4 linked regions of the Elephas maximus indicus genome follow. The protein of the gene in region 2 interacts with the protein of the main gene of each other region in a pairwise test. Links are inferred from orthologs where the notes say so. Each region holds a gene or a part of one and is shown on either strand. Other genes may lie near its edges.

The links.
Region 1: the proteins of RNF111 (region 2) and UBE2E3 interact in a two-hybrid assay, tested with the Homo sapiens proteins (2 studies listed by BioGRID and IntAct). The link is inferred for Elephas maximus indicus from reciprocal best matches to the Homo sapiens genes RNF111 and UBE2E3.
Region 3: the proteins of RNF111 (region 2) and UBE2E1 interact in a two-hybrid assay, tested with the Homo sapiens proteins (2 studies listed by BioGRID and IntAct). The link is inferred for Elephas maximus indicus from reciprocal best matches to the Homo sapiens genes RNF111 and UBE2E1.
Region 4: the proteins of RNF111 (region 2) and UBE2W interact in a two-hybrid assay, tested with the Homo sapiens proteins (2 studies listed by BioGRID and IntAct). The link is inferred for Elephas maximus indicus from reciprocal best matches to the Homo sapiens genes RNF111 and UBE2W.

Annotation. Positions count from the first base shown.
Region 1 is NC_064824.1:79,192,527-79,200,484, reverse strand, and holds the start of UBE2E3 (ubiquitin-conjugating enzyme E2 E3), read right to left. Parts: upstream 3,015-7,958; 5' UTR 2,908-3,014; intron 2,772-2,907; exon of another isoform or gene 2,405-2,771; intron 2,206-2,404; exon of another isoform or gene 1,995-2,205; intron 1,951-1,994; exon of another isoform or gene 1,903-1,950; intron 1,379-1,902; 5' UTR 1,354-1,378; coding exon 1,160-1,353; intron 1-1,159. UniProt on the Homo sapiens protein: Accepts ubiquitin from the E1 complex and catalyzes its covalent attachment to other proteins. In vitro catalyzes 'Lys-11'- and 'Lys-48'-, as well as 'Lys-63'-linked polyubiquitination.
Region 2 is NC_064831.1:49,065,951-49,073,507, reverse strand, and holds the start of RNF111 (E3 ubiquitin-protein ligase Arkadia), read right to left. Parts: upstream 3,003-7,557; 5' UTR 2,242-3,002; intron 1-2,241. Other genes in the region: SLTM (SAFB-like transcription modulator), read left to right, coding at 3,119-3,280, 4,158-4,245. UniProt on the Homo sapiens protein: E3 ubiquitin-protein ligase. Required for mesoderm patterning during embryonic development. Acts as an enhancer of the transcriptional responses of the SMAD2/SMAD3 effectors, which are activated downstream of BMP.
Region 3 is NC_064845.1:15,869,593-15,877,516, forward strand, and holds the start of UBE2E1 (ubiquitin-conjugating enzyme E2 E1), read right to left. Parts: upstream 3,004-7,924; 5' UTR 2,837-3,003; intron 1,711-2,836; 5' UTR 1,678-1,710; coding exon 1,526-1,677; intron 1-1,525. UniProt on the Homo sapiens protein: Accepts ubiquitin from the E1 complex and catalyzes its covalent attachment to other proteins. Catalyzes the covalent attachment of ISG15 to other proteins. Mediates the selective degradation of short-lived and abnormal proteins.
Region 4 is NC_064833.1:68,164,109-68,172,041, forward strand, and holds the start of UBE2W (ubiquitin-conjugating enzyme E2 W), read left to right. Parts: upstream 1-4,931; 5' UTR 4,932-4,952; coding exon 4,953-5,054; intron 5,055-7,933. UniProt on the Homo sapiens protein: Accepts ubiquitin from the E1 complex and catalyzes its covalent attachment to other proteins.

The sequences.
Region 1 (7,958 bases), on a different chromosome or scaffold from region 2:
GCCTTGAGTTAGGAAAAAAAGCAGTTCTCTGATTTTATTCAAATGAAAAATGCTTTGAAAACTTAAAATTTAGTACGTTCTTCAAAAAGACTGAATTATAAATTATTTCAAAGACTGCTGCTATTTAATAAAACATTCTCAAGTTATTAATGCTTGATTATTATACAATAGATATGAAAATCTGTAGAAAAATGAATATTTTAGAATCACTACAAAACACAATATTTGATCAGTTTTTGTATTTTCTTTGCCCTTTAGTTGCGATCAATAAAAACCAACAGAATGTCAATACTAATTCAATAGATATATCTGATGTATCTCTGTCCACATAATTCCTAGAGTTCATGGATATTCCACAACTACCCCCACGGATGGAGCCCCACCGATAGGATCTTTTCTCTCCAATACATATAAATCAACATGAAACAAGCAATTTTTCACTTATATCCAACAAAATGTTTCTTTTGTTGTTGAGTATTAATGTGTCAAGTGTCTCCACAAGTTTTAGTGTAAAAAGTTGCACAAGGACGATGAAAGTTTTCAATAGCCAAGTGACACTTAAAACTGTAAACGGCTGCCTTGCAGTTTTATGTGCCCTCACAGGCACAGAGGAATAACCATCATTTTAAAGTATACCTGGGATGCATAACTTAAAGACTTGTTTGTGAAACTGAGAACAGTTTGTAGCACGATTTTAAATCTGCTTTCACATATAGCCAAGACCTTGAATTTATAGATTTTCCAGCAAATGTGATTATTTTGGATCACTAAAGTTTCATGGAAAGGCACTGGTGACCTTCAGAAGTGTCAACTTCAATAAAGAAAAGAGTATGACTCAAAAAGTAAACATCCCCATTGTACCTCTAATTTGGGCTCACAAATTTCCCTTCACCAACTCCTTAATATGTCAGAATAGTAGTCCAATCTTTATTCAAGTACATTCTTGCTGAAGTTACTGAAGTACAGAATAAGTTTGCTTAAAACTATAATTCTATGGAAGTGGTTTACATATCATCTACAGAATGACAACTCATTCAAATACAAATAAGACCAATCGTGAAGCATTTTTTGAACTATTCCTACTGATCTAAAACCAACAAAGTGTCCGACCATTTGGAAGACAACCTGACAATGTGCTTAACCCTTTTTAACACATTACCTTTTAGCACTAGTGGATAACTTAGCAGTGGTTTTGCTAGAGAGTTTGGTGTTTTTCTTCTGCTGGGTGGCAGAAGGTTTTCTTTCTTCTTGTTCTTCAGGCTCTGGAGCGGCTGGGTCTCGCTGGTCTGCATCTGAACTACCACTGCTGGTGCTAGGGCTCTCATCATCGGACCTCTGCCTATCACTGGACATCTTGGTGAAGTTATTTCTTGGAAAACTTTTAAAGAGAAAAATAGGGGGGTAGGAAAGGTTAAGTCTAAGAAATAAACCAATAGCATTTTATTTTCTATAAATCAATTAAAATCGAATTTTAATAAAAAGGCTTCAAAAGTGTTCACACAAGGTTACAAGGGGAGGCGATGTGTCTCACAACGCCACCGTTCAAGGATTTACCGGACTCAAGTTAGAAAACCCACTCACATTTTTTTTTTCCATTCCTTGGACAATCTATCAATTGTCTACTTTCTCAGAAGGCATGAAACAGATTTGCCAGGGAACTTAGGCAACGAGCATTAATAACATATGACACACTGTAAATAACAGATCTCGCTGAAAAATGTTAAAAAGTCACTAATAACGTCTAAATATTTACACACTGACATTGGTCAAAGCTACCAAATTGCCTTTCCGAGAGGAAAACATACCCCGTTAATCACCCATATGCTTATTTAACGTGGCGATTCCTCCTCGCTGCACGTAAGGCTTTAAACACAACATTTAGAAATTTAAAAATCAACTAACAAGCTGCTCTAGCCGTTTCCACGGCCAGCAGCGAAGATTCATCCGGCCAAGAGAGAGCTGCCACCCTGGGAAAAGCAGAATCCAAACTGCACCTTCTGCAAAGCTCCCAATGCCACCAAGGTTCCTCGCTCAATTTTTACATCACGGACCGACATTTTGTCCAAAATAACGAGAAAAAAAAATCCCAGGAAAAACAAACAAACAAAGCCCCAAGAAGTGCAACAAATTTCCGCGCCCGTGGAGGCGAACCGCGGCCGGCGGCGGCGGCCGCCACGCAGCTCCGCGGCCCTTTGTGGGGAGGGCCGCGCGGGGGCCGTGGGCAGCGCTCGCCGCGCCGGGCGCCAAGTGATGCGAGCAGCCCGGCCGGCCCCGCCGCGGCTCGCGGACACCGGCGGCGCGGGCGCCCGGCGCGAACAAAGCTGCCCGCCCCCGCCCCCTCCCCCACCGCCGCCGCCGCCGCCCCGGCCGCCCCCCACGCGGCCCCCCGGCCCGGCTGCCTTACCTCGGCCGCCCGCCCGGCCCGCTCGCACGCCGCTACGGTGTGGGGGAGGGAGAGAGAAAAAAACCCTTCCTTAAGGAAATGGAGGCAGTTGGGGGGGGAAGGGGGGGGAGGGAAAAAAAGAAGCCGAGGAGGCTCTGGCCGGGGAGTGTGGAACATTGAAAGTCGGAGGGGGCTGTGTAGTGCCGGGCTCCGGCCGGAGGGTGGCGCCGCCCAGCGCCTTCGGGAAAAAACGGGGGGTGGGAGCTCGGCTGGGCGAGGGCGCGAGCTCCCAGCGAGGCGGAGGGGACGCGGGAGACCCCCGCGCACTGTGGCCTCCCGCCGCCGCCGCCCGGCTCGGCTCCTCCCGGCCGCGCAGTCAGCAAGTTCCTAGGCGAGCGCGGGGGAGGGGCGGACGCGGGCCGGCGCGCGTGCTCGCCGCTTGCCTGGCGGAGGGGCGCGCGCCGCCGGCAGCCGGCGGGCGCGAGCTACTCCCGCGCGCTCCCGCGCGCTCTCTCCGCGCCTACCTTCACCCGGGGGGCGCACGCGTCCGCCCGCGCGCGTCCAGGACAAAGAGCGCGGCGGGGCCCCTACAGGCTGGCCCCTGCAGGCCGAGGCCGCGGAGCCGGCGCTGGAGAGGACGGGGGCGCGGGCGCCGTCTCGCGGGGCTGCTGTGCCGCGGGGTGGCTTCCGGCCTGTGCCCGCCTCCGGGCGGAGGCTGCCCATTAGGCTACCCGCCCCGCGGGCCGAGGCTGGAGGGCTTTTCAGGGCGGGCGAGCCGAGGTCACCCCTACTGCTGGCAACATCCCCTTAGCCTGCGCAGGGTCGGGTATGGGCCCCAGGGTCCCAACGCCTAGGCAAGGGCCCTGAGCGCGTGGCTGGGAGTCCCCAGCTGCCCCAGGCTCTGGAGGACTGAGAGGTGGTGTTAAGGAGGCCAGCGACGCAGTTGGAGGAAACCTACCTGTTCCTCCTCATGTGAGCAAGACGAAGGGGCTAGATGGGGTCCTGGACATTGAGAGGAGTGAAAGGGATTTCGAGACCAGAGGACCAGCTTCTGCTTTTCCTTGGCCGTCAGCCTGCAGCTGTCGCTTCCAAAGGGGAGGCTTGAAAACTTAAATCCAAAACAATTTTTAAATGTCCTGCTGAAAATTTTTAAAGGTGGAAGAAGGAAGCTCACGGGGGTCTGGAGACTGTTCTGAAGTACTAAGCCAGACGCCAGTTCTGGAAAGAGTGATATCTAGATAAGCATTCAATGGAGATAGTGGATGTTAGTTTTGTTCTACCATTCTATCCTGTAGAGTCTCCAGGTGGACTTTGCAGTTTTTGCCCCAGGCACAAAGTAGCCAGAAGTACAAAAACTTCCTGTTAGCAGCCCAGACCTTCTCTAGCTACTGAGAACTTGTTCCAGTGATGGAGCCTCAAAGGAATTTGTGGATTCCTCTCAAGTGTCCAGGAGCTGGTTTGCTGGGAGAATATGGAGTTCACAGAGGGAGTGAGAATAGCAGCCACAACAGACAAACGAGAGTTAAGGGAAAGAAAGGAAGAAGACTGAGTGAAAGAACACATTTACTTATTTTTCGTTAAGTTTTTCCTCATTTTACTTAAGTTTTGGTAAAAGGTTGTTCACCACTCTGACCAGTAAGTTACGTTTCTCTCATTTTCTAAAGACACAGGGTACTTCATTGAGGGCTATGTTGCTAGGTGCTGGACACACAAAATTTACTCATTCAAGTATCATGCGATTAAGGTCAGGTACAAATTGTTAAAGCTCACCAGGTTGATAAGGAGGAAGGATATTTCAGTCAGAATGAACAGCATGTCTCAAGAAACTGTGAGGCAAGACCGTGGCATGTGTTATGGACAAGCATTTTGATTTAGCTGGACCAAAGGATGCTTGTAGGAAGAGTTTTTGGTACAAATATAGACAGAAGGTTTCCTCAACTTTGTGACACATTGTGACTCTACAGCAAAAGCTGGCTAATTTGGAGTTTGAGCTTTGTGCTATTTGATACTGGGGACTGTTAAAGGAAAACTGTATGTCAAAAGTGGGATGTTTTAGGAAATACCAGGGAAATAACCTGAAGGCCCAAATGTTCTTCGGCTTTGGGTATGGCAAAGAGATAAGGGAATAAGGGTATTTCGTTGTATTTTGGTAGAGTATTTTCTGCAGAAGAAACTGCATTGGTTGGAAAGCGAGAGAACTAGAGTCTAATTCTCATCCTACCTATTAGTTTGTGTAACCTCAGGCAAGTTACTTGTTCCAACTTAATGTTTCTTATGCGTAAAAGGAGATTGTGTCAAAGGTTCCAAGTCCTCTGTTGCTCAAAAATTCCATGATTCGTCAATGAGTTTGAAGTCGTGGCAGACATTACACTCAACATTCACTCAACAGAACACTTCCAAAAAACCAAACCAAACCTGTTGCCATCAAGTCAATCCCAACTCATAGTGACCCTATAGGACAAAGTAGAATTGCCCCATACTGTTTCCAAGAAGGGGCTGGTGGATTTGAACTGGCTAGCAGCTGTAGCTCTTAAAAACTGCACCACCAGGGCTAAACTACTAAATGCTGGAGAAATCAAGTGAAACATGGGTCCTTTTAATGGGCTCACTGTGTAGTGAGGCAGCCAGAAATGTAGTCTACAGACTGGTGTTTTATTAAAAAAGTGAACAGGGTGAGAGTGGAGAATTATTAATTATCAATTAATAATTATCAGTGGAATTACTGGATCCCTGGTTGCGCTGTGGTTAAGAGCTTAGCTGCTAACCAAAAGGTCAGCAGTTAGAATCCACCAGCCACTCCTTGGAAACCCTATTATTAAAAAAACAAAGTTGCTGTCGAGTAGACTCCAACTGATGGTGACCCTATAGGACAGAGTAGAACTGCCCCATACAGTTTCCAAGGAGCACCTGGTGAATTTGAACTGCTGAGCTTTTTGTTAGCAGCCATAGCTCTTAGCCACTATGCCACCAGGGTTTCCTAGAAACCCTATAGAACAGTTCTGCACTGTCCTATAGAGTCCCTATGAGTTGGAATCTACTCGATGGCAATGGGTTTGGTTTTGGTTTAATGGAATTATTAATTCAGCTTGTGATATGAATCAAAAGAAGTAATAATAACCAGAGCCTGGAAGGATCAGTAGGTGATAATATAGATAATGCTCCTGGCAAAGTCCTGGCACGTAGTATCTGTTCAATAAATACCAAAAAACAAACCAAACCCGCTGCTATGGAGCCAATTCTGACTCATAGCAACCCTCTGTATAGTAGTTAATATATTGTTACAGTCCTGATAAAGAGAATGAATGGCTCCGTAAGGGCAGGAATAGGAGCAACCTTCTCCCACAATATTAGGTTCCCAAATGCCTTCTTTCACCTGACTAATGGAGTCCTTCAAGTGGTTGACACAGCTCTCCTCCAGGGTAACAAGACATTACCACATTGACCAGAAGTAACTTGTAAATTATGAGTTGTTTCTAATGTGAAGTTCTTTCTATCTTGTTTTTGCCATGTCTATCCTTGAAATCCATGGCACAGTGGTTAAGCACTTGGCTGCCATCTTAGTTATCTTGTGGTGCTATAACAGAAATACCACAAGTGGATGGCTTTAACAAACAGAAATTTATTCTCTCACATTCTAGTAGGCTAGAAGTTGGAATTCAGGGCACTAGCTCCCAGGTAAAGGCTTTCTCTCTGTTGGTTCTGGGGGAAGGTCTTTGTCATCAATCTTTCCTTGGTCAAGGAGCTTCTCAGCACAGGGACCCTGGATCCAAAGGACACACTATGCTTCTGGTGCTTCTTTCTTGGTGGTATTAGGTCCCCCTGTCTCTCTGCTCACTTCTCTCTTTTATATCTCAAAAGAGATTGACTTAAGACACAACCTAATCTTGTAGATTGAGTCCAGCCTCGTTAACTTCCTCTAATCCTGCCTCCTTAACATCATAGAGGTAGGATTTACAGCATGTAGAAAAATCACACCAGATGACAAAATGGTGGACAATCACACAATACTGGAAATTGTGGCCTAGCCAAGTTGGCACACTTTTTGGGGAACATAATTCAATCCATGACAGCTGCTAACCAAAAGGTGAGCAGTTCAAATTCACCAGCCAGTTCAAGGGAGAAAGATGTGGCAATGCGCTTTTGTAGAGATCACAGCCTTGGAAACCCTATGAGGAAGTTCTACTCTGTCTTATAGGGTCACTATGAGCTGGAATCAACTTGATGGCAATAGGTTTCGGTTTGGTTTTATCCTTGAAATTAGGGATCAAGTTTTATAGGCCCCCCTGGGGCATACAGATGTAACCTAATGCAAATTATTCCATAAGCCATATAATAAATTTTTTTCCCATAAGGCCCCTCAAAATAGCACCACAAAGCAGACACCAGCTACCACAGGAAGGTTTTTCCATCTCAGTCTCCTGTTTTTCTGTTATTGGAATGAGGATCCTGCCAACCTTTCACCCTGAAAGAGAGCCAGTGGTAAGAGAAAAGATACTAAATCCAGTTGCAAAAGATATCACCACCTCCTCTTCCCTTTCCCACTAAATGTTGTGACCAAAAGGGACCTGTTCTTACGGGGTGGACTGGGCTCTGGGCAAGGCAGGCCCCAGAATCCTTAGGTCTCCCTAGATTGGGAGATGCTATCTCCTGAGCCTTTCAGTCGGTCTCGTGTGTGTGTGTGTGTGCGCGTGCAAGCGTGTGTGCGTCTACAGAAAAACATAAAGAGAGAAATAGTTTGAGTTGCCTAAGAAGTTTCTAAATTGAGCAACTGTGTAGGTTAGGGTAAGGAACCAGATCTTTTTAAATTACCCACTGTGATGGTTGATTGTGTGTCACCTTGCCTGGGCCGTGATTCTCCATGTTTATATGTGATCTTCCCCATGATGGGATCTGCTGTGAGTAGCCAATCAGTTGAAAGGGAGTTTCCTTGGGCATGTAGCCTGCATTTGAATATAAGTGGATGTTCTGGCTTTTGCCTTCTCTGGATCCTGCAGCTGCCTCCTGTTTGTCTGACTTCCAGTTCTCGGGACTTCAGCTAGCAGCTTACCTGCCAGTCTTCGAATTTGTCGATCTTCACAGCCTGTGATCAAGAGTTCTGCTCTCTGACCTGCTGATCTTGGGTTCAACAGCCCCTGCAGCTACGTGCATTAAGAGAAGGCTTGTGGTCTTGCCTACCGATCTTGGGATTTGTTGATCTTCACAGACTGTGAGCAAGAGCCCTGCTCTCAGACCTGCTAATCTTGGGTAGCCAGCCCCTGCAGCTATGTGAATCAGGAGAAGCCTTTATCCTGATCCATGGATTTGGGACATTCCAGGCTCTACAATGGTATGAGCCATTTCCTTGATGCACATTTTTTTTTACTGGTTTTGTTTCTCTAGAGATCTCAGCCTAAGACACCCACCATGACCAGCAACATACTTCACACATAATAGATGTAGAATAAATATTAATTTGGTTTGTTGATTTTAGATTTATCTTTCCTACTCAGTAACTTTTCTCAATATCCCTTCATTTTACTCCTTTCTTTTTTTTCAGGCTGTTTCTGATGAAATAAAACATGAGCACCTTGATAGG
Region 2 (7,557 bases):
GGCGGATAGTAATAATTCAATAAATATCTGTTAAATGATGAGCTTTTCTCAAAGCAAAGTGACATAATGAGTGCAAAAGTGTTCAGTAAATGGCAAGAGGCTTTATACATAAAATATATGTTGTTATTATTTTTTGAGCAGTATTCTCAATGCACAAACGTATACAGGTAAAGATAAGTGTAGCCAGAGGAGCTCAAGCCTGTGATCTTATCTATAACATTGCCTAGCACACTTGCAAAAAATGGAATATCAAATTTCAGCTTTAGGAGAAAAGAAACATCCAAAGAATAAGTTGACTATTGAGAAAAATTACTGTGTCCCTTCACCTAAATATATTTTACTAAAGGATGAAAACAGAAAAAAAATGTACTAAAGGAATACTTACTAAAAAGTGAATAGTTCAGGTAAATAAGTTAAAAAACATGATAATCCTAGGTTAAATAACAAAATTAAAAATTCAATATGTTAAAAGTGAATATATATAACCTCCATTTTACTATTTTCTCAAATTACAAAAAAATAGATCTATGTATGAGGTATTTTTGGAATAATTTTAAACCTGTAAAAAAGTTTAAATAGTATGCAACGAACAACCTTATACCCTTCATGCACTCAGCTGTTAACCGAAAGGTTGGAGGTTCAAGTCCACTCAGAGGCACCTTGGAAATAAGGCTTGATGATCTACTTCCAAAAAAGCAGCCACTGAAAACCCAATGGAGTCCAGTTCTACTCTGATACACATGGAGCTGCCATGAGTCAGAACTGACTTCCAAGGCAGGCAACTGGCAAGATTCCCTAATTGTTAACATTTTGCCACATTTGTTTTTGATTAATATCTTGTTATATTTACTTTCACAAATGGTAAAATATTGCCACATTTGCTTTCTTTCTCTCAACCATTTGAAAGTAAATTGCAGACAGAATGATACTTCACCCCTAAGACCTAGGACATTCTACATAACCAAGATATCATACTCTGGATCTTTAACACTGATATAACAACACAATCTAATGTATAGTCAAAGTTCCCATTGATTCAAAAATGTTCTTACATTTTTATGTTCTCTGATCCAGAATCTAAACAGTAATCAAGTATGATATTTGGTTGTCATGTCTCTTCAGTCATCTTTATTCTGGAACAGTTCCACAACTTTTTTTTCCATGATGTTGCTATTTTGAAGAGTCTAGACCAGTTAATTTGTAGAATGTCCTACAATTGAATTTGCCTGCATGTTTTTTTCATGATCAGATTCAGGTTACACATGAATACGACATAGGTGATGTGTCCTTCTCAAGTGCATCACAGCAGGCAGCATGTACCTCCATTTTAGATAACTCTATTACTAGATTTTAAGTAAAAAAAAAAAAAAAGGCCAACAGAAGAAAAACTAATTCCCTTTAAATATCCTGTGAGCTTTTGGTTAGTAAAAGCCCTCTTTCCAAGCAAGCATCCACAGAAAGTGGGAGGAGGAGAGTTGAGTGGAAAAGACACTGAAACAAGGAGATCTGAGCTTTAGTGTTAATTTGCTCAATAATTACCTGTGAGACCAAAACCCAAAACCCAAACTCACTGCCATCGAGTTGATTCCGACTCATCGCAACCCTACAGGACACGGGAGATCTGCCCAGTAGAATTTCCAAGGAGCACCTGGCTGATTCGAACTGACCTTTTGGTTACCTGCTGTACCACTTAACCACTACACCACCAGGATTTCCTACCTGTGAGCATCTAGGTAAACCTCTTAGAACGTTCATCTATTTAAAAAAATGAGAGAACTGGCTCAGATTACTAAAAAGTCTTTGAATTCTAAAATTCTGAGTGGAAACCAATGTGGTAGACAAGAGTTGGATTTACAATCAGGAGACCTGGATTTGATCTGTGTGAACGTGGACAAGTCATTTAATCACGTTAAGCCTCGCAGAGATTTACCTCACAGAGTTAGGACAGATTAAGAGGCTTATTGAATATCAAAGTGTATTATAAACCATAAAGAACTACCCAAATGTCAAGTATTAGTTTACAATTTCCAATCTTCCTCCTTGATCTAATCAAAGAGAGAAGAGCAAGCTAAAGTGAACCAGGCTTCGTCAATCTAAATTTTAAAGCCAGGAAATGCTAGCACATTTAACTGCGTGTCATGTCATGCTTGATTTATGGAATTTACAGGATAGCTTTTATTCCATAAATGTTTATGCTTTGATGATTAGTAGTATTGGCTAAAATTATGAATAGGTACTCACTTGTACAGGCCGGTCCTCCATAAGTAGTCACTCTTCTTGGAATCCCATATTTTAGGGGCAGAACAGTGAACACTGCATACGAGATGGCAACCAGTATCAAACTAATTTCCTCATTCAGTGAACTATTTCGTGTTGAGCCATTAGATCCTCCCCGAGGATGGCAAACCAAGCCAAAGCTGAGGTGGGGGTGGGGCTGGGGGTGGGGGGAGCCCTGGAATAAACTAAGGCTGAAGGCATGATGTTTTCCCGAGAGAGAGCCACTGGGACATGTCACATGGGCCGACCCTTTACATTCTTGGACTACCAGCTCTAGGGTTTCTTTCAGGCGTTTTGAAAAGGAAGGAACCCAGTGCATTAGTGGCCTGTCCACACTGACCACATTTTCGATCACTCAGCAGAGATACAAAGTATCTCCCTGGGTGAGGCTCGGGGCGTGCGCAGGTCTTTTAGGGTTGTGTTTAGTAACTCGCGAACTCTATGCCACGTCGTGCCTAGCACATTCTCATTGCTCAAGACTCTAGACGTTGCTAGAAAATGGCTAACGAGGCCGCGGGAGATCCGCGGCGCGGCGGACGTTGCTGCGGTTGGACCTGCCTGACGTCCCAGCCCACTTCAGGGGTCGCCCTGCCCAGGTGGCCGAGGGGGGTTCGGCGGAGCGCGCGGGCGCTGCCCCCTCAGTGCGCACGCGCGCCCGTCATCCGGGTGCCGACGGCGGCGGAAGTCGCGCTGGGCGGCGGGGGCGGGGTCCGCGGCACATTGTGCGCAGCGCCGTGCGTAGCGCCGTGCGTAGCGGCCTCCGCGGCCCGAGCCCAAGTTGGCGCTGCCGCCGCCGCCCTGCAGCCCACTCGCTGCTTCGGCAGCGCGCCGCTCTCCTAAAATGGCTGCCGCTACCGGTGCTGTGGCGGCCGCGGCCGCCTCGGATCAGGCGGAAGGGAAGAAGATCACCGACCTGCGGGTCATCGACCTCAAGTCGGAGCTGAAGCGGCGGAATTTAGACATCACCGGCGTCAAGACGGTGCTCGTGTCCCGACTCAAGCAGGTGAGGCCCAGCAGGTCCGGAAGCGGAGCGTAGGCCGCGCCTGGCGTCTCTGGGCCGCCGCGGTCCGCGGGGCGGAGCGGGCCCGGGCGCCGGCCGCGCGCGCAGGCCTGCCGGGCGCCCCTCCCCGCCCGGCCGCCGAGCGCGCCCCCGCTCCCCCGGGACGTCCGTGCCGGCTGCCAGGGCTGCGGGCGGGCGGGCGGAGCGGCCTCCCAAGGGCGTTGTGCGGAGCCGGGCGGCGCTGGGTCCCCAGCCTCAGCCATGGTGAGCGCGTGCTTCCCTGGGCCTCGGGGGGAATGGTTACTTTGGTGACTTCTGCGAAGTTACCGTTTAATGGTGCCCAACCGTTTCCTCCCCATGGGGGGGGGGCGGTAGTGGGAGTTGATGGGGCGGGGGGAGAGGTTTTGTTTTCCATCGGGTTTTCAGTTTTTGCATCCTCGCAGTAATCTCCTTTTTCATCCTTGATTACAATCATTCTGGCTTATTTGAGAGAGCGTTGGAATTGTGGTAGAGGAGGGATAAGTTTGCGTTGCAGATATTGGGAAAACTCCTTTTAGTTACTTTAGCAGCTGGCAGCTTTTCTGCGATTGAGCATATTAGGTTTTTTTGTTGAGTATGATAATATGTGATATATAATTTTCTCAAATTGGTAGAACCTTAAACTCCATGTGATTTTGATACCTAATAATGCCCCCCCGCCCCGCAAGCTTCTCTTACCTTTTTCGTGTGGTTTAATTGCTCTTTTTTGAAGTCAGTTTATGAAATGACTGGCAATTCTAACATCTTGAGGCTTGAGGTTTGCTGATTTTTTTTTCATTGCGTTTTTGTAAAATAAGTTTAGATAGATTGTGTAGCATATTAATTTCTCTTTCTAATGTAGGCTATTGAAGAGGAAGGAGGCGATCCAGATAATATTGAATTAACTGTTTCAACTGATACTCCAAACAAGAAACCAACCAAAGGCAAAGGTTGTTACTAGTTATGAACGTATTTTAAAATATATTTTGGTTATATAACTTGTGTCTGCTTTTGTGCCATTTGCTCTGTTTATACAGTTCTACTCTTTGCTGTTTCCCTCTGGCACTCTGCCTTCTTGGGTCAAGGAAGAACAGTTACCGTTGCCAGGCTCTGGGTGACTTGTAGCCCTTAAGATTCCGCTGAAGCTAACCCGAAAGTGAGACCAGTCCTTTATTGCTTCTGAAAAAAATTAGAGTTGAGTTTCAGAATGTTTTTTCCTTGGTAGTGTGAAGATTACAAGAATAAAATACAGTTTAATACGTATCTACCTTGCCCCAAATTTGGCAGAGTATTGATGGAATCCCTACAAATCTTTCACCTTGGCTTCTTGCTGTTTCCTCTAGTATATTAAAATTTTATGATCTTCATGTTTTGGAGTTTGACTTAGTGAACTTAAATTGGAATTATGCCATTATACATTCTAATTTTCAGTGAAATTTAACAGGACTTAAGCATTTGAACTACAACGGAAGGGAAAACCCATTACAGTTGTCCCTCAGTATCCTCAGGGGGGTTGGTTCCAAGACCAGAATCCTCAGATGCTCAAGTTCCTTGTATAAAATGGTGTGTATTTGCATATAATCTAAATACATCCTCTTTTATGCTTTAAATAAAAAAAAAAAAAGGGTATGTGTAGTACCTAATATAGTGTAAGTGCCGTGTGAATAGTTGTTGATGCTTACAGTTAACAACGCAAATCCAGGTTTTGCTTTTCAGAACTTTTTTTTCCTCGAATATTTTCAGTTCGCAGTTGGTTGAGCTCCAGAGTGTGGAATCCACAGATACAGAACCCCTGAATATGGAGGGCTGACTTGGATTAGGGCCTCATCCAAAGTTATAGGAAAACATTAAAGATTTTGATATTTTAACTTCTAAAGTAGGCCAGAATATATTGCCAGGATATGCTGATTCAGTGAATAACTTGAAGTGGTTTGAAATTAACATTTCAATAACAGAAGTGGAATTTTTTAAAGCTTCTGGTAAGTGAAATCTTTACTCGAATAATTGTAGATTTCTCCCTCCCTTCCAGAAGAACACTGGCAGGGGTGGACATGATGTGAGCATTTGGATCCTGGTACTTACCTACAATTTCCATTAATTATTGCAGCTCTTATTTAATACAGAGTATGTCTTGCACGGTAAACCCTGGTGGCTTAGTGGTTAAAAGCTATGGCTGCTAACCAAAAGGTCAGCAGTTGGAATCCACCAGGCACTCTTTGGAAACCATGTGGGGGGCAGTTCTGCTGTGTCCCGTAGGGTCCCTATGAGTTGGCTCAGTGGCAACAGGTTTGGTTGTTTTGTTTATGTATTGGACAAGTGCAGCATTTTTTTGGAATCTAACTTCCTTTACTGCTTTAAGTATGCAAAACGCCACTTCTGATTGGGAATAGAGCGAAAGCATTGAATCAATTAACTTGAAAATAAGGAGATATTAAATTTTCACCTCAGGGACCATGTGGGCATGGGGAACAGGCAGATGCTGATTCCAACACAGTAGTTAAGCCTACATAGGTTTGGAGGAGTCCCATATTCTGTGCCACAGCACAGGAGTTAGGAAAGACTGAGAAGCCTTTCCTGGTGGAATAGGAGTGGTAATAAGTGGAGGTTGAGTTTAGAAGAGTAACAAAGTATCTTGGAGGTCTATTGCTTTTAGTGTAACTTTTTAACTCAGTGTATCACTTTGAGAGATAGCTTGGAGAGGCTTGTGCTGGCAGGCAGAGGCTATTTCAAAAATGGGTAAGCCCTTAGAAAATTCAGGAAAAAATACATTAGGAATGAACCATGTGTTGTCTTATGGTGGTTTTGATTCATATTCTTAGCACATTGTGGTAGTTTGATAGATGTTGAGGTTATTATGATTTTTAATATTTAAATCTTGTTTATTTTATACCTGCTTTTGATTTTTTGGTATCCTTTTTTTTTTCTCATTTATCTTACTCATAGCAATAATTTCATCAATAAAAAAAAACTCAGATTTTTCCAGTTGAGTATATATATTTGCTTATCAGTATATTAACTTTTCTGGCAGTTTATAAAGATACTTGAACTTTAATTTTCTTTAACTCTGATGTTAAGGTGCCTTGTGGTCATCGGTTAGAAGTTGAAGCATTTGTTATTTGTCTGTAACAGGCTACTGAGTACTTCATGAGCCTCATTCCAGGACATGCATGATAAAGGGCGCTAGTTTCCTTGAATTCCATCTGTCATTGTTATGAAAATCCTATTAATATAAAGAACATAATATAAATGCCAAGTTTAGAATTTAATTTGAATTAGTTTACAACTGAGATACTTACAGATATGATTATTTTAAAGTAAGTTTAGAAACGATTTTTAAAAATCAAAATTTGTTTAGGGAAACTTGTTAAAATATTGGTAATAGATTTTTAAAACCAAAGATTCAAGAAATTAAATACTGTTTTGATGTGATTTCATTTTTTGTCTAGTTGAATTACTACATTAAGGTTTTTTTTTTTAATGTCAAATCTTATCTTAGTATTATCTACTTTGAAAATAATTTCAGCTTGGTCATGCCACTTTTCCTTCAGTGTATCTGTTTCCTCTTTTGTAAATTTGGAAATTGTACTAGATCATCTAGGGCTCTTTTAATTCCGAAATGTAACAGTTTCATATAGCCAGGAGCCAGAAGAAAAATGAATTTTGTTCAACTAAAGTAACGTGTAAGACAGGAACAGAAAAACTCGCAGGCCCTCAGTCAGTGTAGGTTTTCTTCAGCACCGATTATTAAATGAGGAAAAGATGGAAGAATGGAATTACTTATAGGCAGTCATGTAGACGTCAGCTAACCTACCTAGTGCCGTCGAGTCGTTTCCGACTCATAGCGACCGTGTAGGACTAGATGTCAACTAGGCATGAATAAGTATATAATCATAAAATAAATAATTCCTATCATAGTCTTAAATCAGCAGATAAAGGTTAAATGGTGTTAAGAAAACAAGAGAGGCTTGACGGATTTGGAAAAATTACTGAGGTGACACATGAGATAAATGGAGGGTCACTTTCTTTAAATAAAATTGTATGTTGAAATGATTGTGTTTAGACAGATTAGAGAAAAAGGAATCTGCATTCATAAATATGTTGTAGAATATTCAGAAAGTACAGTTATTACAAGGAAAAGTTTGTAGTGAATGTTGATAATGTTTTAGTGGGTTTGATTTTAATAATCAGCATACTTATAAAACTATTTGCATATAGTTAACATGGTGGAACAGTTTTTAGGTTTAGTTCTCTCTCCTGAGTTT
Region 3 (7,924 bases), on a different chromosome or scaffold from region 2:
AATGAGGATCAGGGAGTCCAGAGGCTGCCCTGGGGAGCTTAAGGAAGGCCTCATCCAAAGCGGGCAGGGTTAGATACCAGGGTTCTGAAAGAACTAAAGAACTAGCTAGCACTGGGTTAATCAATGAGGACTCCTGGGAAGCTGAGATGCAATCAAACCAACCCTCTGAAAAGGGGAAATACCTTGCAAAAAACACCTTAGCACTTAAATCTCTACACTATTTAAAATAAAAAGTCATTCCCTTCATCAGCACTTTACCAACTTTTCAAATTTCAAGTCAGGGAAAATGACAAAACAAACTCTTGAACTCTTGAGTTCTGGCTTACTACTCAACGGAGAGACCTAAGTCTCAGGTTCCATTTTATTTTAAATTCCTTTAAGAAAGACATCCCTATCTAACCCACCATTCAGATTCCTTACTATCTTCCTAAACTAAAACCAAAACCAAACCTGTTGCCAGCAAGTCAATTCTGACTCATAGCAACCCTACAGGACAGAGTAGAGCTGCCCCATAGGGTTTCCAAGGAGCGACTGGTGGATTCAAACTGCCGATCTTTTGGTTAGCAGCTGAGCTCTTAACCACTGCGCCACCAGGGTGCCACTGTTTTCCTAGTATGCCACTTTAACGTTTAATAACTGTTTACCAGAGAGCAGAAGGATTTATGAAAAGGTGTCTGGGGGTTCCCAGAAATCTGCTATAGATTATTTTAAGGGTCACAGGAATCCGAGGATATTACTAAAGGATGACAGAGGTAAAAAGTGGCTTTCTCCAGAGATGTAAGAGGAAAAAAGTAAGGAAAAAGAGCCACTGCTTTAATTCAACTTGGAAAAAAATAGTAGCATTTTTACAGCATAAGACAGCACGAAAAAACTGCGTTTTCCTACAATTGGTAACGTGAAGTTCTTAAAGAGAAAAAAAATTAAGGATCCCAGAAATAACCTACAATACACCAGCTTACAATCATTTATTGCTTCATTCATTTGCGTCAACTCTCCAAACCAGAAAAATCCCTTTAAATTCCATCAGGAATCCTGTCTTCAACTTCTAAAATTTCTACCCCACTGATGTATTTATTCTTTATGCAATTTTTGGATAAATTACTATTCAACAAAGATCAGGCGTGCAACAGGTGAGAAGGAAGTAAGACATTTTGATAGGGAGTTATCTGGGCAGGTATTAGTGATTAAGAAGTGGGACGGCAGCCGTGAGGAGAGTTACAGATTAGCGATTAATAAAACCAGTAACCTGAAATGGGGTTTGGGGGTCACTATTAAAAGCAATGAGGATTCTTACAAACTTCAACAAGAAACGCGAGAGGCAAGCCACAGCGGCTGCATGTGGGCAATGATTAAAAGAAAAACAGAACAAGCAACGGAGAGAATAATTAGGGCCTCCCAGGCCCCTTTTTCATTTGTAAGGACACACAAACCAGGAGGGGCACTTTAGCTACCCTCTTTGGGAGCTAAACCGAATGCAGCAGAGGCGTTCAGAAAAATAGGAAGCCGGTGGAAAAGCGTACGGTACCTCTTGGCGCTGGTGGAGAGGAGCTTGGAGTTTTTACTCATGCTGACTTTACTCTCCTTCTTCTTGGGGGTGTTTGTTTCTTTCTCGGTTTGCTGGTTGGAGGAAGAAGATGAGGAGGAGCTGGTGCTGGCCCTCGAATCGTCATCCGACATAGCGAACCCCCCACCCCACCCCGCAAACAGCCCCTGGAGGAGGAGGGAAACAAAACAGACACACGTAAACCAGGCAGGCAGTGTGAATAGGGAACTCGGGTGCTGTCAGGAAGGCACGGGGCAGGGGTGCACCCAGCCGCCCACCTCCCTCTTATTGCTTTCAAAGTCTCTAGGCCCATTAAGGCTTCGGCAAATCGGACGCGGCTTGTTTGTTTATTTTGGGCCCCAAGTAGAGGACGCCGGGGGAAACGGTCCGGAGCTACGAGGGCAGCCCCTCCCTCGCCCCCCGGGGCTCCCCTCTGGGCACGGAGGGGGGAGGCCGAGGGGGCGGAGGAGGAGGGCAGGGCAGGGGCGCGGGGCGCCTCGACGAGGCGAGGAGGAAAGACCCGGGCGGCCGGGTGGCCTTCGGACTGTTCTGTGCGCTTCCTGGGGGTCGCGGGGGCCTGTGGCCCCGGCAAGGCTGCGGGGCCGGGAGCGGAGTTTGGCGAGGTCGGGAAGAGAGGAGGGGCGGGAGGAGTAAGAGAGGAAGCCGAAACCGGGGGACGGAGGCGGGGAACGGGTGCCCGGGTGGGGGAAGGGAGAGGCCGGCGGGGACAGGGGCGACGAGGCCCGAGGCCCCCCACGCCGCGCCCGACGCCCCTCCCTGTCGGCCTGCCCCTCAGCCGCCCGGCTCCGGGCTCCGCGGCCAGGGCGGGGGTCCTGAGCCCACGCCCGATCGCCACCTCTAGGAGGTGGGGGGTTCGGGTGTGTGGGGGGGTTGGCCTCCGCAGAGAAGGAATAACAATGAGCTCGTCCGCCCCGGAGGGGTTAATCCCCGCGGGCCCCCGCCCGGGGGGAAAACGAGGCTCCCCCAACTCCCCCACCCCCCGCTCCCGGCCCCCTCAGTGGCCAGTGGGGGGCTCCCGGGACGGCGCTGACAGTTCAAGCCACAATGCCCCCCTCGCCCCCGACGCGGCGGCCCCCGCACCCCACGCGGCCCGGGGTCCCTGCCCATCCCCCGCGGGCGGGCCCCGGACCCCTGGGGCTCCCCGGCCCCTCGCCCCTCCTCAGCCCCGTGCCCGGCGGCCCGGGCGGCGCGGCTTGGGGGAGGCGGCAAGGGGTGTCCCCGAGGCCCGGCGGCGCGGCCGGGGGGCGGCGGGCGACGGGGGGATCCCCGTACCTCTCTTTGTGTCTGGCTCCTCCGTGCCGCCGCGGCGGCTGCTGCTGCGGCTGCGGCTGGGCCTGGCCACTCGTGTCTCTCTCTCGCTGGGAGAGAAGCGGAAGTGCAGCAACAGCAACTATTAAACAGGCAATGGCTTCCCCCAGCCACACACGCTCGCACACACACTCCTCCTCCTCCTCACCCCTCCCCCACCCGCCCGGTCCCACCCACCCGCGCTCCCTCCCCCTGCACCTCCGGGAGCGGGGGGACGGGGAGGACACGGGGGACCCCGGGAAACCCTGTCCCCCTCCCCATCCACACCTGCACCCCCACCGGGCGCCTCCTTCGGACGCCCGGGAAGGGGCGAGGGGTGTGAATTTTCTCTTACGGGGTTTGGGATCTGGATCCTGGGTAGGAGACGGGGAGCTGGTCCGAGACGGGGGGCGCTGGGAGCGGCTGGTACTAGCTGGAATAGAGGTGCGGGGGGTCACTAGAGAAGAAGTTCTTTCCACAGAGGGCTTTTGGAAAAGGCGTTTGGCAAATTGGTGAATAAGACGGTAATCTCATGCCTAAGACTTGGGACTAGAGAGTGCAATGGAAACTCCTAAAAAGTGATCAGTTTAAGGGGAAAAAAGAAATCCCACAAAAGGGATTTCCCTTTGGGCTGACACTTGCTTCTCTCTCTGGCAATTTACCTGGTAGGAGCAGAGGTCAGTTTAGTTAGACACGCCTCTGAGAAAATCCCAAACTGGGACTTTTCTGCTCCAGGGCATGAGGCATGTACAATTCTAAATTTTAGATTCTTCACGTCACATTTTATAGAAAGTGATGTGGGTTTTTGAAAGTGATACAAATGATTTCATGACAGGTAAGAGCAGAGGGTTACAGGTTTATGAATGTGAGAAATCACTGGGAATAAATCATATACTGAATTAGACTAGATTTAGCGTTTTTGGGCGTCAGCATTGGATATAAAGTTTGATTTTTGGAAATTCGCTAGGAAGTTCTGGGGACCCCTGTACCTACTTCAGCTACAACATAAATGCTATTCAAATAATAATATTTTTAGAATAATCAGTAATTCTTCTAAATTGTTCCTCGTTTAGCATTTTAAATAAGATTGACTTTCTATTATTAAGCCACCAAATTACTCTTCAGTTTCTCACCTATTTGTCATTTCAGTTGAAGGGAAATGAAGAGATATATACCATCCAAATACAAGTGACACACTCACAGGATCTTTACATTAAGGAGACAGCCTAGTCAGAGTTCCATGGGTCACTCTAAATTATCTCATTCAAATTACCATCATTTCCCGTGGCAACAGTGGTTTCAGTCACCATATACACAAGATATAAAGCCCATGACATATCCAGTAACCAGGAAAACAAGGATTCTCACCGCCCAGCTTAACCCCTTCTACTCTTCATCCTGAAACTCCAACTTCATCAAGACTCATAAAGCAATAATAGCGTATGATTCTTGTTCAGTCCCTACTAGGAAACCTGTATCTACCAGGTATTGCCATAGAATCAAGGAGTCCAAAAGGTGGAGGAAACCTCGTAGTCATCACTTCAGCCTCCTGCCCAGTCAGAGCTATCCCTTAACCACCAAAATGCATATCGATTTTGAAAAGATCCCCGGACAACTTTTCTTAGTGTTTGGTTTCAGGAGTCCTGGTAGACCATACAAAAATAATGACATTCCCTGCTGTATGGTCCTTAAAAACAAAAAATCTCCTAGAAAACAGGTTGTAGACTTTGTGTACATCTGACGAAAAAGTTCAACAGAAAACAATAAGCAAACAGATGAAATAAACTTAGTTGGGGGTGAAGAAAATAATCTTACGAAAATTTGGATTTCTGATGCTTTAAAATCCAATCCTGCACTATGATTACAACTAGTAAAAAAAATTGTATATGTAATTATATATATTAAAAAAAGCCAATTATATGTATATGTATATATAAAGACAAGACCTGGTAGGATCACAGGAAAATAAAAAATTTGATTTGCTGAAGTGACTGGGATGGTGGTATATTTTTTCTTTAAGTTTGATTTCTATAAATCGTATACCTGAATACTGTCTTAGTTATCTATGAGTGCTGCTATAACAGAAATACCACAAATGTGTGGCTTTAACAAACAGAAATTTATTTTCTCACAGTTTAGGGGGCTAGAAGGCCGAATTCAGGGAGCCGGCTCTAGGGGAAGGCTTTCTTTCTTTTTCAGCTGTCTCTTTGAGCTCCTGCTCCTGGGCCATCTTCTTGTGGCTTGGCATTTCTCTTCCCCCATCCTTGCTTCTTTCCCTTGTTCTTTTAATCTCTTTTATACATTAAAAGAGATTGATTTAAGACACACCCTATACTAATCCTCTCTCATTAACATAACAAAGACGACCCGTTCCCAAATGGGATTATAACCACAGGCATAGAGGTCAGGATTTACAAAACATACTTTTGGGGGACACAATTCAATCTATAACAGATACTATGATAATTTTTTTTTTTAACTGAGCATGGTATTTTCTGTTTCATTGTTGATGCCTGGGTTGGATTGGTCCCCGGGGAAATAAACCATGTAATCTAAGGGCTCCTCCTACATAGGGAGTGCTTTCCCAAGCACAGGTCTGGAAGGATACCAGCCCTCCCTTGTGTACCATTCCCTCTTATCTCTAACACACACTAACCCCCGGTTAGTGCTTTATGGTTTTGGAATGACCTACTGAGTCGGGTATAAAAACCTCAAAATGCTTAGAAAAGAATTCACTGTTCTTGAAAGTCTAATCTTTAGGTCATGTTATTTTAAATACACTGTTGTCTCATAGAGAAAAAAAAAAAATTTGTTTGCAACCCTCTAGCTCTTCTACATATTAACTACAAGGCCTAAGACCTGAAGTCACCTCTCTGAGCCTCAGTTTCCTCATCTCTAAAGGGCTGGGATACCTGCACTATGTGGCCCGGCAAAGCTATTGTAAGGATCAGTGTGTGTCTGTAATGAAGGTGGCTTATTAACTGTTACACAAAGTAAATTATTAATAATCCCACCTAGGTCCTACTTCTCCAGAATGCTGTTAGGGCACCTAAAGAGTGTATGGTGAGAACTTAAGAAACCCTCTGAAGTGAAAGATAGTCAAGGAATCATAGGATTTTACCACTACAATAAAATCAAAAACCAAACCCGGTGCTGTCAAATCTATTCCAACTCATAGCAACCCTATAGGACAGAATAGAACTGCCCCATAGGGTTTCCAAGGAGTGGCTAGTGGATTTGAACTGCCAGTCTTTGGGTTAGCAGCCGAGTCCCTCACCACTGCACCACCAGGGCTCCAGTACTAGACAGGACCTGAGAAATCTTCTAGTTCAAACTCCTCATGTTACAAATGAAGAAAATAAGGCAAAGAAAGCCAAGGTCATGCAGTGAGTCGGTGGCAGAACTGTGGCTATGGCCCCTGCTGCCCACAGATGATTTTGTCAGTCCTGGAAAATCCATTACACTGGAGGCAAATATTATACATGAAAGAACTTTGGTAATATTTCCAAGAATATATTATCAAGACATAGTTGGGAAAGGGGAAAAAATGGGAGGGAATCACCTGAATTTTTAACATTCACTTGAACCAATGGATGACTGCCATTGAAGTTCCTTGCTTGCCATCCGGAGAGTAAGCCTCCTTGGTTATTTGTTTTACATTTATGAACATATTTTGAACAGGCAATCCATTCTCATGCTTTATGATTCAAAAGATACCAAAGGATATGTCAGGGAAGAGCCCTCAGCTCTTCCTTCCAATCCCTCTTATTTCCCTCTTCAGGGCAGTTTTCTGCGTATCCTTGCTCGTATAATCTACGCATGTGCAAGCAAACGCGTGTACATACACTGAATTCATCAACAGAAATGCTCAACTGACATTTAAAAGATGCGTCCAATCACAGAAGCCCAAGTGGGGCAGCACTGCAACATCCACGGGCTTTGAGAAAGGGGGCTCCAGTGTTTGCTAGTACCTATTCCTGGTTCTCAGAATGATCCAGCTCTCTTCTTCAAGTCATCTTTAGAGTATCAAGTGCTTTTAAGTAAAGTACTTGAAGATCAAGGTGCTTACAGTCATAGGCTGATCCCTAGAAGGTGAAAGAACAAGAATTCCCACCCTTGGGAGGACACGGCTACAGTTGATTTAAAAGAGACCCAGTTTAACTTTCCAGCACTCTTATTTTTGGCCAGTTGCTTATGACAAACAGTATTTCATAAAGATGACCATTCTGTTTGGCCAATTTCATATCCAAACAGTTGTCAAGTAAATTAGCATTTGCTAATATATATATATATTTAATCTTACTTTATAGCTGGTAGAAAGGATTTCCTTTTTCTGCAAAAAAAAAAAAATTGATTTGAAATTAAGAATTTCTATAAAGAATTTCTGGAAGGATGGATTCACTGCAGATTTCAGGACATCTGTTTCATTTTATTATACTCCTTTGGCTGAAAATATTCATTCCTTATACAGAAAAATAAGAAAGTTCTGCAAAGAAGGGCCTGTTCCATGAGGCCTTAGATCTGGGGCTTTTATCTTTAATACAGGTCATTTTTCCATGGACTTATTAAAAAAAAAAAAAAAGAAACACTGATATACCTTTGAAGGACCCTAAACATTGTCTGACTTTATTGGGCCTGAATATGACTATTACAGGAAGCTAGGACAGAACTAAATTATTTTTTCTACCACATGGAGGCATTGAACACCATGTGATTTTCAAAATTTACCATCACTTGATTAAGAATCAAATGCTTTTTTTCAGAGAAAAAATCAAGCAAGGGCAAAAAGGTTTGTTTGATGTCCACAAATGGATAATGGTTAATATTAAAGCAATTGTCTCAATTTATAATTTAGGGTTGCCTCTGTGAGGCCTATTCTCTAAACAAGCTAACCTCTTTCAACCTTCTGTACATTGATAACACAAGGACAGATTATATTGGAATATATTGTATTGCAGTTTGAACAGTTCGGTTCATTAGTCTCTGAAACCTTTTCCTGAACTTAACACCTTTTTAGCTTACTGAAATTTGGAGGAATGAAAGAGTAGGAGAAAAATTAGTTTTATTTCACAC
Region 4 (7,933 bases), on a different chromosome or scaffold from region 2:
TCTAGTTTGGTGCCTGTTCCAACAAATATGCTGTGTGCTGTTGAACTGCCTTCATTTCTCTGGTGAGGTCAACCATGAAGAGACTAAGAACCAACTACTCTGTGGAGACACAAGCTCAAGCAAGGACTTGTCAACTTTGCCTTTTCATGCTCCAACAAGCATATCCTCACTGGACTGCTCCTGACTGTGCAGCCTAGTGAATCATAGGAATTCAAGCATTCATAAACTACATTACATCATCAGTACTGCAGCATTTACCTAGTGGTCCCTTTGTAGGTCCTTTAATGTTACCAGACTATTTGGTTTCCCATATTTCCTCCTCTTTGGTGCCACGGAGTCTAGCTGCTAATGTATTCCTCTGTGTCTCATGCTCTGCCTTTACCCAGGAGGGAAGACCGCAGACACGTACACAACCTGTATATGTCCTAATTTTTTTCTTCTAGGGAGGCAGAGGTGAGGGCAGTGTGGCAGATGGGGGATGTCTTAGTTCTAGTGCAGCTATAACAGAAATACCACAAGTGGACAGCTTTAACAAAGAAAATTTTATTCTCTCACAGTTTAGGAGGCTAGAAGTCCACATTCAGGGTGCCAGCTTCAGGGGAAGTCTTTCTTTTCTGTCAGCTCTGAGGGAAGGTCCTTGTTATCAATCTTTCCCTCATCTAGGAACTTCTCAGCACAGGGACCAGATCCAAAGGACATGTTCTGCTCCTGGCTCTGCTTTCCTGGTGGTAGGAGGTCCCTGTCTTTCTGCTCCTGTCTCTCTTTCATATCTCAAAAGAGGCTGACTCAAGATAGAACCTAATCTTGTAGATTAAGTCCTGATTCATTAACAAAACTGCCTCTAATCCTCCCTCATTAACATCGTAATGGTAGGATTTACAACACACAGGAAAATCATATCAATTGACAAAATGGTAGACAATCACACAATACTGGGAATCATGGCCTAGGCAAATTGACAGACATTTTTGGGGGGCAAGATTCAATCTATAACAGGGGAAAATCACCTCCTTGTCACCTGATGGTCATTTCAAATTGCTGTGGAAATAAAAAATAAACACCATTATCAAATGTAACAAAAATAAAAATTCTTTAATATCATCTAATATCTATTCTGTGTTTATATTTTGCCAGTTCCCAAAAATGTCTTTTTACAGTTGGTTTGTTAGAATCGGGATTCAAACAAAATTGACATATTGTGTTTGCTTAATATGTCTTTTAAATATCTTTTACCATAAATGATGCTATTTAGGAGATTGAGAGCGTGGGAAACTTCAACTTCTCTACTGCCGAACTGTTTTCCAAAGTAATTGTACCAATTTCACTCTGAGTTTATAAAAGCTTCACTCCCTCTCCTACTTTTGGTATCATCAGGCATTTAAACTTTTGCCTATCAGACATTTAAACTTTTGTAAGCCCCACTCTGTAAGGAAATGGAATGTGAACATAGTCTTCAAGAAATATATAATATAAAATAATACAGAAATTTCACACTGTAGTGCAGTGAGTTACTATTATATGCCCTTTTTAGCTGTTGTTCTTGTAACTCCCACAAAATGATTAGGTGAGATTATGCAAATAAGGTGCTTGTGGCCCACCAAGGGGATTGGACAGTTTTGAAACCTTTGTGGGGGTGGGACCATGCATATAGGGTGCATGGAACCCTTGTAGGAAATAGCTGGTTTTGCCATCCCACTAGGTTTAAAGGGAGCCAATCCCAGAGGCTGAGAGGGGGACCTCACTACCATCAAGAAAAGGAGCCAGGAGCAGAGTGCATTCTTCTGACCTAGGGTCCCTACACTGAGAACCTCCTAGGGCCAGGAGACAGAGAGAGTTCTAACACTGAAGACTGCACGAGAGAGACCAGTACCACAGGACTGGCAGGCTAGGCTTGCTGATGCACAGAGAAAAGAGAGGTAAGTGCCTTTAGGCAGGTGGTTGCCGGGGGAGTGGGTGCCTGTGGGCACTTGTTGGCAGAGCTAAAGACCTTTGTTATACTTGCCCGTCCAAGTATAACAGGACAAGAAGGCCAAGAACTGAAGGGTGAGAGAGAAGCCTGCCTGTGAGCATGGCTGAGAAGAAGCTGTCCTGATTAATTGTCTTGTTAAGTCGTTCCTTTTACTACCAAGTTGATCCTGGCCCTGAATTGTAAACTGTTATTCCCTGATAAATTCTATAATTGTGAATACGGTTTGTGAGTTCTATGTGGCCACTGCAATGAATTATCAAACCCAGTAGCAAAGTAGAGAGTGGCGTGGGAGGGATGGGATGGCTAGTGTCAGAACTGGTAAAAAGGTTGGAGAGTGGGAGTATGTGGGAATCAGCCTTGGGCTGATGTTGACAGTGATTTTCTGTCTCCCCCTGAAGTTAGTGAGGTCTGACGCTGTACCATTTCTGGACATGTTCCCTGGAGATAATTATATATCCCCATCCCATCTGAAAGTCACTGTTTTAGCTGCTCTATGCACTGGGATCTTTTTATTATACATTAGTGAAAGAGTAAAGACGATATGTAATTATGTGCTAGTTAGTATTTCCTAGGAGTCCCTGGGTGGCATTTACGGTTAAGCACTCGACTACTAAACAAAAGGTTGGTGGTTCAAAACCATCCAGAGGTGCCTCAGAAGAAAGGCCTACCCATCTACTTCCACAAGATTACAGCCATTGACAACCCTGTGGTTCTACTCTGACCCACACTGAGCTGCCACGAGTCAGAACTGATTCAACAGCAACCACTTTAAGAGGGATATAACTGGCACTGACTTTTCCCCTCATATGAATATCCTTCTAACACATCTGAAACTCAAGGTGCCAGATGTTGTTTCTGCTGAGAAGTGTCAGGATTCCTATAACCTCTTTTCTTCCTTGTTAATACTTGTTAGCTCTTATGATGTCATAATGCTTTGTTTGTAGGGTCATCTGATGTTATATATCTTTAGGAAGGAAGAGTTTTTAAACAAAGTGAACCGCATATAGTAAAACCTGATTTCTGGAGCAATTTTATGAAATAATAGGGAAGAAGATCTCTAAAAGGAAATATACTTGGAAACTTTTCCTATCAGCTTTCTTCTTTCATTGGGATATGTGTGATTTAACAACCTGACATGTGATGTGCTTCTGGATGTTTCCTGGTTGCCAGGAGCATCCAAACATTTCTAAGGACACATCATTTTGTACAATAAAGGGAAAACCAGCTCACTTCTGGCAATAAATGGAATTGGGTGCGGAAGTGTGTTTAATATTATACCATACAATAATTGGTGTATTTTTAAAAAATTTTTTATTGTGCTTTAAGTGAAAGTTTACAAATCAAGTCAGTCTCTCTCACAAAAACTTATATACACCTTGCTACATACTCCCATTGCTCTCCCCTTACTGAGACAGCCCGCTCCCTCACTCCACTTTCTCTTCATGACCATTTCGCCAGCTTCTAACCCCCTCTACCCTCTCATCTCCCCTCCAGGCAGGAGATGCCAACATAGTCTCAAGTGTCCACCTGATCCGAGAAGCTCACTCTTCACCAGCATTCCTCTCCAACCCGTTGTCCAGTTTAATCCCTGTCTGAAGAGTTGGCTTTGGGAACGGTTCCTGTCCTGGGCCAACAGAAGGTCTGGGGGCCATGGCCACTGGGGTCCTTCTAGTCTCAGTCAGACCATTAAGTCTGGTCTTTTGACAAGAATTTGATGTCTGCATCCTACTGCTCTCCTGCTCCCTCAGGGGTTCTCTGTTGTGTTCCCTGTCAGGGCAGTCATCGGTGGTAGGTGGGCACCATCTAGTTAATAATTGGTGTATTTTAAAGATCTTTTTCCTTTATGAACACATTTCACATTAGGGAAGTTCCCAGGAAACATAATGATCCATCTTAAGAGTGGGAAGGATGACATTCTACACTGCTTTTATATTTAAATCTTAACTTACTGAAATTTCTAAAAAGAAAGCCAAGTCAATTAAATGACAGGTTTTAAGCTTTCATTCTGGTAAAGTCAAAGTCTTCTACTCAATATATCAGCCAGCTCAGTTTTTTAGAGCAAGAACACGAGGTGCAAGGGCTTCCATTTTCCTCTTTAAAAAACCGTGATATTTTCAGTTCTGGAACAGCTCTCCAAAACGCTGCTTCTGGTAAATGTTGGCAGAATTGGTGCATTGCTTAAGTTAATTCTGTATGCTCAACCTTCCTTACCCAGTATCTCTAGGTTGGATGACCATAAAGCTGCCTACCCACAAAATAGACTGGAGAGAAGGCTGGACTTTATAGAATGTATTAAGTACTTATTATAACGAGATACCGGCACATTAAAAAAAAAAAATCATGCCTAGGGCTAAATCTCTGAGCAAACTTAGATTTCCGTAACAACCTTAACTATTTATTATACACATGAACTGAGGTTATGGGGTAAGGAAGTGGATATCACACACACTAGAAAAACTTCAAAAAAGTCTCTCTTTTTTTAGACAAGTTTCAGTTTTGCAAATCCAAAAAACTCTTAACTGTAAAACACCAAAACGTTGTCTGCTCTCAGTTCTCATCCCATTGTAGAAAGAAACCTGTGTCTCTCAAATTAGGAATACAAGAAGTCTTTCTGGTCGGCGAAGACCAGAAAGCAGCCCCGTGGTAAATTCTATCTGGCCCAAGGGTATTCGAAAGGAAAACCTCGAAACCGTACACCTGCGGCTGGAAAAATAAACCAAACAAAAAGTAACCCAAAGATAAGCACATCACCAGGATTTCGTAATATAAACCGACTACGTTGGCACGGTCGGTACCGGAACCACGCTTCCGGAGCTTCTCAAGCACTCAAGGCAAGGCGTGGGCTCGCCGCGGACGCACTAAAACGAGTTGTAATCACCGGTACCTACAGCGCTATTCACCGCACCCCGCCCCTCCCCCAGCGCGCCAGCCAATCCCCTTGCGCTCTCTCCTTCCCATCGGAGGCCCCTCCCCCGCGCCCTGGATGCTGAGCCCCCGCGGCGTGACGCGAGCACGGCAGCTCCGCCCCCTGCGTCTCTGGCCTCGCCGGCCTAGGGGGGATGGTTCCATCATGGCGTCAATGCAGGTGAGAGGAGTTTGCTGCAGCTGGGAGGGCGAGGGAACCGCCGCGAGGGTGCGATCATTCGGGCGGGAGCGCCGCCCGGGGCTCGGAGGTATTCGGGCGGCGTCGGGAGCAGTCCTAGCGGTCGGTCTTTGGCTAGTTTCAGGGCGTTGGGGAGGGGTGAGAGGCGGCCAGGGCAAGGACGGGTGGGGGGGTCTCGGTCGGTCGAAGCGGACACCAGCCGGCCGGGAAGTTGGGGGATAAAGAGGGGTTAGAGGAGGAAAGGTCGAAGTTTGGCCTTGGCTCCGCCACAGTGCTTTCGGAATCGCCTTCCCGCACACACAAACGGCCAGAGTCGGTCGCCGGCCAGCCCCAGGGATGCCTTTCTCTCCGCGGTCCCCGGCCGGCGGAAACAGCTGCTCTCGCCGTTGTCGCCGGGGCAGCAGCGGCGCTGAAGGGGCTGGGTGTGGAGAAACTGGAAAGACATTCCCTGAGAAGGCGGCTGGCTGCAGAAGGCGCTTCGCAGCCTCTGCTCAGGCCTCCCACGCCTGGCTTCTCTTGACTGCTCGGCACCTCCGCTGTCCTCCCTTTGACTCCTAATGCCCCTTGGGTACCTTCTCCTAGGAGTCACGGCACTCTCACAGACATTACCCGAGCCGCCCACTTTCTCACCCCAGCTCGAAGCTGCCCTTAGTCTATTAACAGCATTTGCCGCCTAATTTGCAATCTGCGGGAACCACTAGCCCCTTATGCCTCCCGGGATAGTTCACCCTCTAAGAAAATTTTTCCTCTGGTGCCCCACCCTTGCGGTCTCGGTAAGGCTGTCGCCCTTTACCCTTATTCTCCAGACCATTAGTAGAACCTTAGTTTATTAGGAGGAGTGCGTAACCTGTGTCCTAGCTACCTGACTTGTCAGTGCGTGGTTTTCTGGCTTTCCAACGCAGTTTAGAGAGGAGTTTGGTTTTTCAGGCAAAGATGGCAACCACAGTTGTGGTTTGTAGAGATTGACTCTGCATTATCTAATCTGTAGCTTGCGTTTAATTCACAGATGAAGACTAGCGTATCAAAACGTAGCAAGAGAAGGTAGAACTTATTAGGAATGTCAACTGAACGCTTTTTAGAGTTTTAAAAAAGCATCCCCTTAAGTGAAGAAAGAGACCGCATTTTTTCTTAGAAGGATTTTTTGTTTTTGTATCTAGAAGAAAAAGCAAGTACCCCCTCATTTTTCCCCCCTCTTCTGTGCGAGTGCAGTGTTTTTCTTACATCTCTTCTGCATCTTCTCTCTCTTGTGCACATCAGTTCTTTGTTCCACACTTTTGTGCTTTTGTCTTACCCCTTTCAATCTGTTTTTCATATGATAGTCTTGTTACCTTTGCTTTTCCCTATGGACTCTTGCAGAACAGAAAAAAATTGTATATAACATTTCTGGTTGAAAAGATGTGACGAAACAGTGGAGGGAGAAAACAAGAACAATTTCAGGAAACATTGTACTTTACACCAGTCTCCCTGAGAGACGTTAGAGAAGTTTCCTCATTTGAGGCCAAAAAAGGAACTGTTAAATTTAACAGTAGATGGGCTACGTGACCAATTTAAGGTTATTAGTGTATTAAGATTAAAACATTTGTTTTAAAACTAAAAATTAAAATCCACAACACTTGCATGATTGTATTTGACAAGTGAGCATAGCGTTACAGGGATGGTAACTGACAGTTAGCTTTTCAGTTATCTGGAAAAGGGATGTTTCAGTTGTTAAGAGAAAAAACCCAAGCTGGTAAAGAACTTAATAATCTTGAATTTTACATGGCTTCTTAAGCAGTAAGAAGCCCTGTTGGTGCAGTGGTTAAGCATTTGGCTACTAACTGAAAGGTCAGTGGTTCAAATCTACCAGCCTCTCCACAGGAGAAAGATGTGGCTGTCTGCTTCCAGAAAGATTACAGCCTTGGAAACCCTATGGGACAGTTCTACCCTATCCTATAGGGTCACTATGAGTCAGAATTGACTCAGAGCAATGGGTTTGATTTGGGGTTTTTTGTTTTGTTTTTGTTTTTTTTGTACTTTAACAATGGACAAAAATACTTGCCAGTGCAATATTGCATTTTTCTATGTCACAAGTACTACCTCAGTCTGTCTTACCACTTTTCTTTTCCTTTGTGTCTTGGTGATTAGAGGAATGGAAAATTCATACATCCTTTTTTAAGTAAAATACAACTAAATCTTTCCCTTTTGTTTGTATTTTTAAAATATACGGATTTTCTGGTAGAATCTTAAAAAATACTTTAATGTGGATAGGTCACACTTTTTGAGACAATACTGTCTGCGTGTGGGGTGAACAAAGTTTTTTTTCCCTGATAGTCTTAATAGCAAAGTTTAACTCTTTCTAAAACAACTGAACTATACATAAAGCAATAACCAAATTATTAAATTTGTTCATTCATGGAACAATTGTTTTTTGAGGACCCAGTATGTATCACCAGCAGTCATCTAGATGCTGAGGATCCAGCAGTGAACAAAAGCAGACAAGGTCTCTGCCCTTGTAGATATAAGTCTAGTTGGGGGAGACAGACATTAAGAAAATATTTAAGTTAATCGTGTATTAAATTAGAAGGTAAAAAGTGCTGTGGAGAAAAATATAGAGTGGATGGAGGTTTGGAAGTAGATATTTTAGATAGGGTAATGAGGAAAAAGTATGCTGCTCTGACCATGTCCTCATCTAAAAAAGCTTTAAGTAGGTTATTTAACCCACACTAGGATGTTACTGCTGCTTAAGAAGTTATTCAAGCTGTAAGGGGAACTGTATTTTAAAAACAAGTATATTATATGAATGTAACGTGTGATTTGATTACTTGAATTGATAAAGACGAAAAAATGAGTCTTCAGGAGCAATGCACTAAAAATTAGGGATA